2 linked regions of the Rattus norvegicus genome follow. Each later gene encodes a partner of the first gene's protein in a complex. Links are inferred from orthologs where the notes say so. Each region holds a gene or a part of one and is shown in the gene's direction. Other genes may lie near its edges.

What was found. The genes of interacting proteins can lie anywhere in the genome.
Region 2: the proteins of Scap (region 1) and Insig2 are in contact, whole or in part, in a cryo-EM structure (PDB 7ETW), measured with the Homo sapiens proteins. The link is inferred for Rattus norvegicus from reciprocal best matches to the Homo sapiens genes SCAP and INSIG2. Residues at the interface, in NP_036367.2 of Homo sapiens: Pro200, Ser206, Val282, Ala283, Glu284, Ile286, Pro287, Thr290, Ile294, Ala297, Tyr298, Phe301, Lys305, Tyr351, Val354, Val355, Glu359, Thr409, Leu410, Val411, Ser638, Tyr639; in NP_001308258.1 of Homo sapiens: Phe41, Val45, Leu48, Leu49, Ile51, Val55, Leu57, Phe58, Pro59, Val62, Ser65, Ile66, Glu104, Trp105, Ser106, Met109, Arg110, Val112, Ala113, Val114, Val116, Gly117, His120, Gln132.

What each region holds. Positions count from the first base shown.
Region 1 is NC_086026.1:119,229,345-119,232,995, forward strand, and holds part of Scap (sterol regulatory element-binding protein cleavage-activating protein), read left to right. Parts: intron 1-1,834; coding exon 1,835-1,947; intron 1,948-2,953; coding exon 2,954-3,048; intron 3,049-3,651. UniProt on the Homo sapiens protein: Escort protein required for cholesterol as well as lipid homeostasis.
Region 2 is NC_086031.1:35,037,221-35,040,915, reverse strand, and holds the start of Insig2 (insulin-induced gene 2 protein), read left to right. Parts: upstream 1-817; 5' UTR 818-842; coding exon 843-1,086; intron 1,087-3,695. UniProt on the Homo sapiens protein: Oxysterol-binding protein that mediates feedback control of cholesterol synthesis by controlling both endoplasmic reticulum to Golgi transport of SCAP and degradation of HMGCR.

The sequences.
Region 1 (3,651 bases):
TAGGTCTCACAGGGCCAGGGTGAGCCATCAGGCAGGCCCCTTGCACACACCTCTGGGCACTGTCGACCCCTGGACTAGATGTTTGTTGTTATGCAATGTCTGCCTTATTATTTTTGACACTGAAGAGTTCATTTTCCCCTCCTTAAGCATATGAATATGCCATGTCTTTCTCTATATAGAGCATGTAGTTATATGCATGTATGTGTTTGTACATATGTGTACATATACATTGTGTGCTTTTAGAATATTTATATTTGCATATGTATGGTATATGTGTATATATAGATGTTATTGTTTATATTTTTAAATCTACATGCACACTTTCATTTTTTAGATTTATTTTTGTTATTTTTAATATGTGGGGCATAGGGAACATGCAGGCAAATAGAGGTGCCTGTGGAGACCTGCAGAGAGCCCCCGGAGCTCAAGGTACAGGGGTTGTGAGCCTGGTATAGATGCTGGGAACTGAGCTTAGGTCCTCTGTAAGAGCAGTAAGCACTTTTTTTTTTTTTTTTTTATGGTTCTTTTTTTCGGAGCTGGGGACCGAACCCAGCAGTAAGCACTTTTAACTACTGAATTACCTCCGCAGCCTGACACTGCTCTCTAAGGGCTGTGTCTGGAGGTGTGCAATAAAGAAGCATACATGTCTTCCTCACTATTAAAAGAGGACTGGCAAGGTGGCTCAGTAGGTAAGGCATTTCCTGCCAAGCCTGATGACTTGAGTTCAATCCCTAGAATCTGTTTGATGGAAGGAAAAAAACCAGCTCCCACAAGTCGTCTTTTGATCTCCACATGTATCCTGAGACACCTGTGTGCATGTATGCATACATACATACATACATACATCATACATACATACATACATACACACATACACACATACACACATACATACATGAATATAATGAAAGTTTTTTTTTTAAAAGATTTAAATCCCCAGATAGAGTAAGTGTGGAGTCCTGTTGTCAGTGTATGGGGAGGTATCGCTCCCCCCCATTCCTCACTGATGTTCCTTTCCCCTCATTCCTCAGAAAATCTTAGTGCAGAAGCCCTTCCCTATGTCTGTCCTCAGGCTTTGGGCTCTGTGGCTGCCCTGCCTGAGTTACTAATGGACTGGCCCATTGGTCGTCCCTGACCTTGACTTCTCAGGCAGTCATAGGAAAAACTAGTGCTAGATATCAGACCCAAGGCCTAGGAAGGGAGTCAGCAGCTGTGCAGAAAAGCTACTTTGTATGGCTCCTGTTGGGTTCGTGTTCTGGGCTGCTGGCTTCCTTTTCTGAGGCACTCTCAGAGCTCTGTGTGCATGGACAGGGCTCAGCCAGCAGCCAGATGCCTTATGGGACAGTTACTCCTCTCAAGACATGGCTTCTCAGTAGAGGTGGAAGGATTCAGGCTGTAGCCATCCCTCCCATTTAGATGACTATTTTGGCCTGGAGTGACAAATGTAGGCTCCATGCTTATTCTGTCAGCCATTGGAGGCTAGTGTGGGGGATCAGGAAGGCTGGGCTCTGGTAGCAGCCAGCAATGCTCTCTAGTGGGCTTTTCCCAGTTTCCCTTCTCTGCTGGGTAGAAGAGACAAGAGACATTAGCTGACCCCTTAGCAAAGCTTTGGAGTCTGCCTCAGGGCCAAAGGCTGTGTAGACAAGGAACCTTGTTGGATAAAGGTACATTAGAGAAGGTTCCTTCCCTAGGTCACAGAAGCCACTTGGCAGCCTCTATTATATATAGGCTGGAAGCCCCCACAGCTTTCCCAGGGCTCAAGCCTATAAGAACTAACCCTATGTTAGACCTGGTCGTGCTGCCATCTCTTACTGTCTCTTCCTCTGTTCCCCAGCGAGATTTTCCCATATCTGGTGGTGGTTATTGGGCTAGAGAATGTGTTGGTGCTCACCAAGTCAGTGGTATCAACTCCAGTGGACCTTGAGGTGAAGCTTCGAATTGCACAAGGTAACACTGGGTAATGGGCTGTCCCTCTTATATTTAGGCCCAACCCTCAAAATGTGTCTGTTAGGGCTGTGGTGATAGCTCGGTCAGTAGAGTGCTTGCTGCACAGACATGAGGCCCTGCGTTCAGTCTCCAGACCCATGCAAAGGCCAGGCACAGTGCAGCGCAGCTGTGATCCCAGTACTAGAGACAGATAGGTGGCCCCTCAGCTGGCCTAACCTAATCGGTGAGCCGTGGGCCAGTGAGAGACTCTGTCTCAAATACAAGGTTCCTGAAGAACAGTCCCTGGTGTGACCTCTACACATACTTGTGTACATATGCACCCACACAACCCAACAACAGCCTCTCAGAGTTAGCCTGGGTTGGCTTGGAACTTGCTATGTAGACCAGGCTGGCCTCAAACTCCTAGAGATCCGTCCATCCTTACCTCCTGAGTGCTGAGATTAAAGGTACACACCACCCTGTCCTGCTAAGAGGAAGTAGATGTCTTAGGTTCTTTATCCTAGGCCTATGTCTGTGACAGTAACCAGAAACTGACTACACTCATTCCACCTTCCTCTGATGAACTTCTGTGCTTCTAGACTCTGCCCTGGGTGTGGGGTTATAAAGAGATGAGGCAAAATCTTTTGTGTAAATAGAGTCTTGTTCATATGACAGCTATGGCAGCCTAACCCTAAGAGCGGCACGAGGACGAGTCTATTAGCTCTGCCATCGCTCTGCTGGTCAGGAGTGGATGTGGTCATAGCTAAAACAAGAAAGCACTGGGCTGTCTTCTTGGCTTTTCTTCTCATCACCCTGGTTCTCCCTTTTTCTGCTGGACCCCACCTTCCTCTGTAGCAGCTGCACCATGGTGCTGACTCCCTAGAGTCTGCCCACTGAGTGGAATGGCTGCCCAGAGGCCGGACCCCCTCTTCAGGCCTCTGTCCTTCTGAGGACTACAAGGTCAGGAGTAGACATGTCGCTCTTCCCTGCCCTTCACTGCCTCAGTACTTCGGTTTTCCCTGTGCAGGCTTAAGCAGTGAGAGCTGGTCCATCATGAAGAACGTAGCAACTGAACTGGGCATCATCCTCATTGGCTACTTCACCCTTGTGCCTGCCATCCAAGTAAGGCTTCAGGGTGGCCATATGGGGCATGTGTGTGTGTGTGTGTGTGTGTGTGTGTGTGTGTGTGTGTGTGTGTGTCTGTGTGTCTGTGTGTCTGTGTCTGTGTGTGTCTGTGTGTCTGTGTGGTGTGTCCTGTCATCTCATGCAGGCTTTCAATAGAATCCATGTTGCTGTGTCAGAGATCTCAAATAAGGGCAGGGGAAGAAAACTTAACTTTGAGCAAGTCCTGCTCCTTAACCAGATGTAGGATGCAAACCACCCTTTCCCATGTTAGGGCAGAATCCTCCTCTTTCAGTGCTAACTGACCAGAAAAGCACAATGAGCAAGTTGGGGCTTGTGCAGAAAGGCTCTTTAGGGAGCATGCTGGCGGCTTACAGTTCCCTTATGCCTTTCTCAAGGGACTTGAAGAGCCTAGAAAAGCACCCTCTAAGGCCACTCTGGAGCAAAGTATGCAGGCGCTGCCTTGCTCCCCAGTGAACAGCTCTCCTTACCCTACTAGTCAGCTCCCAGTCTCCAGAAAGCACAGCTGAAGAATGTTTTCCTTGGCCATTGCTCTGCCCTGCTAGTTCTGGGGACCGTGCAGCCACCATGCCTCCTGTGTGT
Region 2 (3,695 bases), on another chromosome or scaffold:
CTTTTCTTCTGCTTCCTCTACCTTGTCAAGTGCATGCCAGAGGTAGACAGTGGGTACCTGCTTTAGTCTTCTTCCACTGTGGTTTTGAGACAGACCTAGGCCAGCCAGTGAGCCTGAGGGATCCTCCTGTCTCCCTCTCTCCACCACTGCACACCTGGCTTCTTTATGTAAGTGCTTGGATCAGATTTAGGCCCTTGTACTTGTGCTGTAAGCACTTTGCTAGCTGAGCTTTTATCTCAGACCCTAATGTTGACAACTCTCTCCTTTTAAAGTTTTATTTGTGTGTGTTTTATGTTTGCGATTGTTTTGTCTCCGAGTATGTATCACATGCATGCCTTGTGTCCACAGAGCCCAGAAGATGGCATTGACTCCACTAGAACTGGAACTACAGGCATTGTGTGAGCTGTCCTGTGGGGGCTGGGAACCTAGGTCCTCTGCTTGACCTTGTACTGCTGAGCCATCTCTCTAGCTCTGGCTGAGGTCTCTTGAGTCACTTGTTGTGCCCTAGTGAATACACATGCAACATTTATTTTTTTACAACATGCATATAAAGACTCCTTTAAAGGATTTTCTTAATTGAGTAAATAATTTAAATAAATCAGTATAAGTTCATTGTTTCATTCTGTTTCTGCTCAACTAGTACTGAAGCGTGATCACTTGTGCTCATGTGTCAGCCCCATGCTGATTCTTTCTTTTTATCTCTTGTAGGATTTCTGGTAGGCTCCACGTTCAGACAGGATGTGGTACCATTGAGACATTGGTCTGCTTCAGTCCACAGTTCACCTTTTCCACTGGGAGCCTCATTTCATTTCTCGGCTTAGGCCTCCTGAACTTATGAAACCATGGCGGAAGGAGAGACGGAGTCACCTCGGCCTAAAAAGCGTGGCCCCTACATTTCCTCTGTCACCAGCCAGAGCGTGAACGTGGTGATCCGGGGAGTGGTGCTCTTCTTCATTGGCGTGTTCCTGGCTTTAGTGTTGAACTTGCTTCAGATTCAGAGAAATGTGACACTGTTCCCACCAGATGTGATCACCAGCATCTTCTCATCTGCATGGTGGGTTCCACCGTGCTGCGGTACAGCCTCAGGTGTGTGGAAGGCATTTCTGTGTTGCTTATGTTGGAATAAGGCCCTGCTTAAGTAACAGTGTGTATTTGTGTGTGGGTGGGTGTGCAGGAACACTTGTGTGCCTGCATGTTGGCGTCTTCCTCAATTATCTCTAACTTGTTTTTCGAGGCAGTCTCTCACTAAACCTGGATAGCACTAACTGGGTAGACTAGCTGGCCATTGAGCTCCAGGCACCTGCCTGTCTTGTCTTCTCCAGCACTGGGATTACAGACGTGTGTCACCACAGTGACTTTAATAGATGCTGAGGATCTGCACTGAGGTCTTCATGCTTTTGTGGGAAGTACTCTACCTGCCTCATGGAGGATATAATTATATGGAGTGCAGTGGACCTGGACCTCTGTGAGTGAAGTTTGCTGTATTTGGTGTATGCATGCAGTCACGTAGTGTCCCCCATCACCCGGCAGTGGCGTTTCTGTCATTCCCAGGCTTTCTATGCCCTTCTTCCTTTGTATCCCAGCCTCAGGCTGCAGTGGCTCTGCTCTCTGTCCTCCAGGTTTATCCCTGCCTGCTCTGCTGTCCTTGGAGTCAGCCAGTAGGTGCCTGGTGCCTGATGGTTGCACCTTTAAAATGTACCCATAACACCAGTTCTCGTTCTCCTAGGGATGAAGCATTTAAAATCTTTTCTTTTTCTCACTTCATCTCCCTCTTATTCTGAATTATTTTGATAATATCCACTGCTGTTTAAAAGTTTTGACATAAGGGCTATACTTTTGGGTTTGAAGCAGACACAAACTTAATAAGTAGAATAATTTTATTCAAGTTGAAAACTTGGTGTATTTCTAGATTTTTGTGTATGGTTTTATCCTTTCTGCCTCATTTTTAAATGTAGCAGAAGAATAATAAATACTCGAAGGCATCAATGGGGTAGACTGTCTGTGCTTAAAATCCTGATAGTCCTCTTAGTGACTTTGACTGTGTTCAGTAACGGACACTGATGGCCAAGTGAGATGTGTTCTGATCTTCAAACGATGCTGAGCTGCTGTAGTGGACAGCTCTTTAGCTGTGCCTAATGCCAAGGTCAGTGGGTCAACCCTGCGTTATATAACAAGTAATAGAAGGTAGTCACAGCCATGTGGGAGAGGATGATTGTAATTCTGACTGTGTATGCTTAGTGTGCATGAATACCTTACGACACAACACGGGGTACCTTTGTCCTACATCCTAGAGCTAGAGGTTGCAGGCATGTCCGTCCAAAGCCGAGGTTCACTTGTGGGGTATCTTCAAGTAATTTTGTGAAACCTACTGGACAGTGATGTAACCCTGCTACATGGACAGATGGATATTGTTGCAGTCAGATTACATGTGGCTTAGAGAGCCCTGTCAAGCTATGAGAGGCCTTAAATTAAGATAAGTCATCACTGCCTGGTCTCCCCAGGGTTATCGTTCTCTAAGAAGCAGTCCAGATAGACAAGAGAGCTTGTAGCTTATTCTTTGCTGTATCTGCACATCTACCTGTATTTTCCTTTACTTAAACTCAGAAGATAAAACATTTCCCAGTAGCTGCTAGTTCTTTTTTCCCCTTCAAGATAGACCTTAGTCCTCCTGACTTAGGTTCTTAGACCTAGTAGCTGTCCTACCAGGGTCTCCAGATTCACCACTTTACTGTAAAGGAACAGGAGTCACCTGTCCCTAAGGGCGGTCCTAGGAAGCCGAGGCGTCTTGAGTCATTGCTAAGGAGTCTCACAGTCTTCTGTGGATTACTCTCCTTTTCTCTCATCTTTCTTTTCTTTTCTCTTCTTTTCCTCCTCTTCCTTCTCTTTATCCTTCTCTTCCTCTTCCTCCTTTTTTCTTTTGGTAAGAGGATGTTTTTGGGGATTTCTGTAATTTTTTAAATTAAAATATGATTGATTTTCTCCTTCTCTATCCTTCCTCTAGCCCTCCTTACTCTCTCAGTTTCATGGCCCCTATTTCTTTGTTAGTTTATTACGTACATAGACACACAGACAAACAGACACACTACACACACACACAAACACACAAAACCTGTTTTGTCATGTTATTTGTATATGTATATATTCAAGTAAATACAAGATTTGTATTAACTGAGAATTTTATATGTATGGATGGAATTTTGTTTTTTGTTTGTTTTGGGATAGGGGCCACTATGTAACTTTAGCCTGGAACATATAATGTAGACCAGGCTGGCCAAAACTCTTCAGAGATCCACCTTCCTTTCCCTCCTGAGTGCCAAGATTAAAGACCTGTGCGACCATAGCTATCCCAGCTAATACATTTTGATTATATTCACTTCCTACTCCTGCCTTCTCTGCCTTCTCCCCTCCCTCATCCCAGCTCCACATCCTCACGCTTGATCCCCCTTTTGTAATCTCACAGAGTCCAAGTACAATTTGTGCTTCCCATACAACAGTCCATTGGATAGTGGCTGAGCTGCTTGGGGCCACATGCTTAAAGAAAACTGATTCTCTCTTTTACCTGTCAGTGGGTCTTCAGCTACGGAAACTGCTTCCTGCCCTGTGCTGGACAGTTGACAGGCTTCATCGTGTGCAGGCGGCCACAGCTGCTGTGAGTTCATTAGTGCAGCAGCCTGGAATGCCCAAAAGATAGCCTC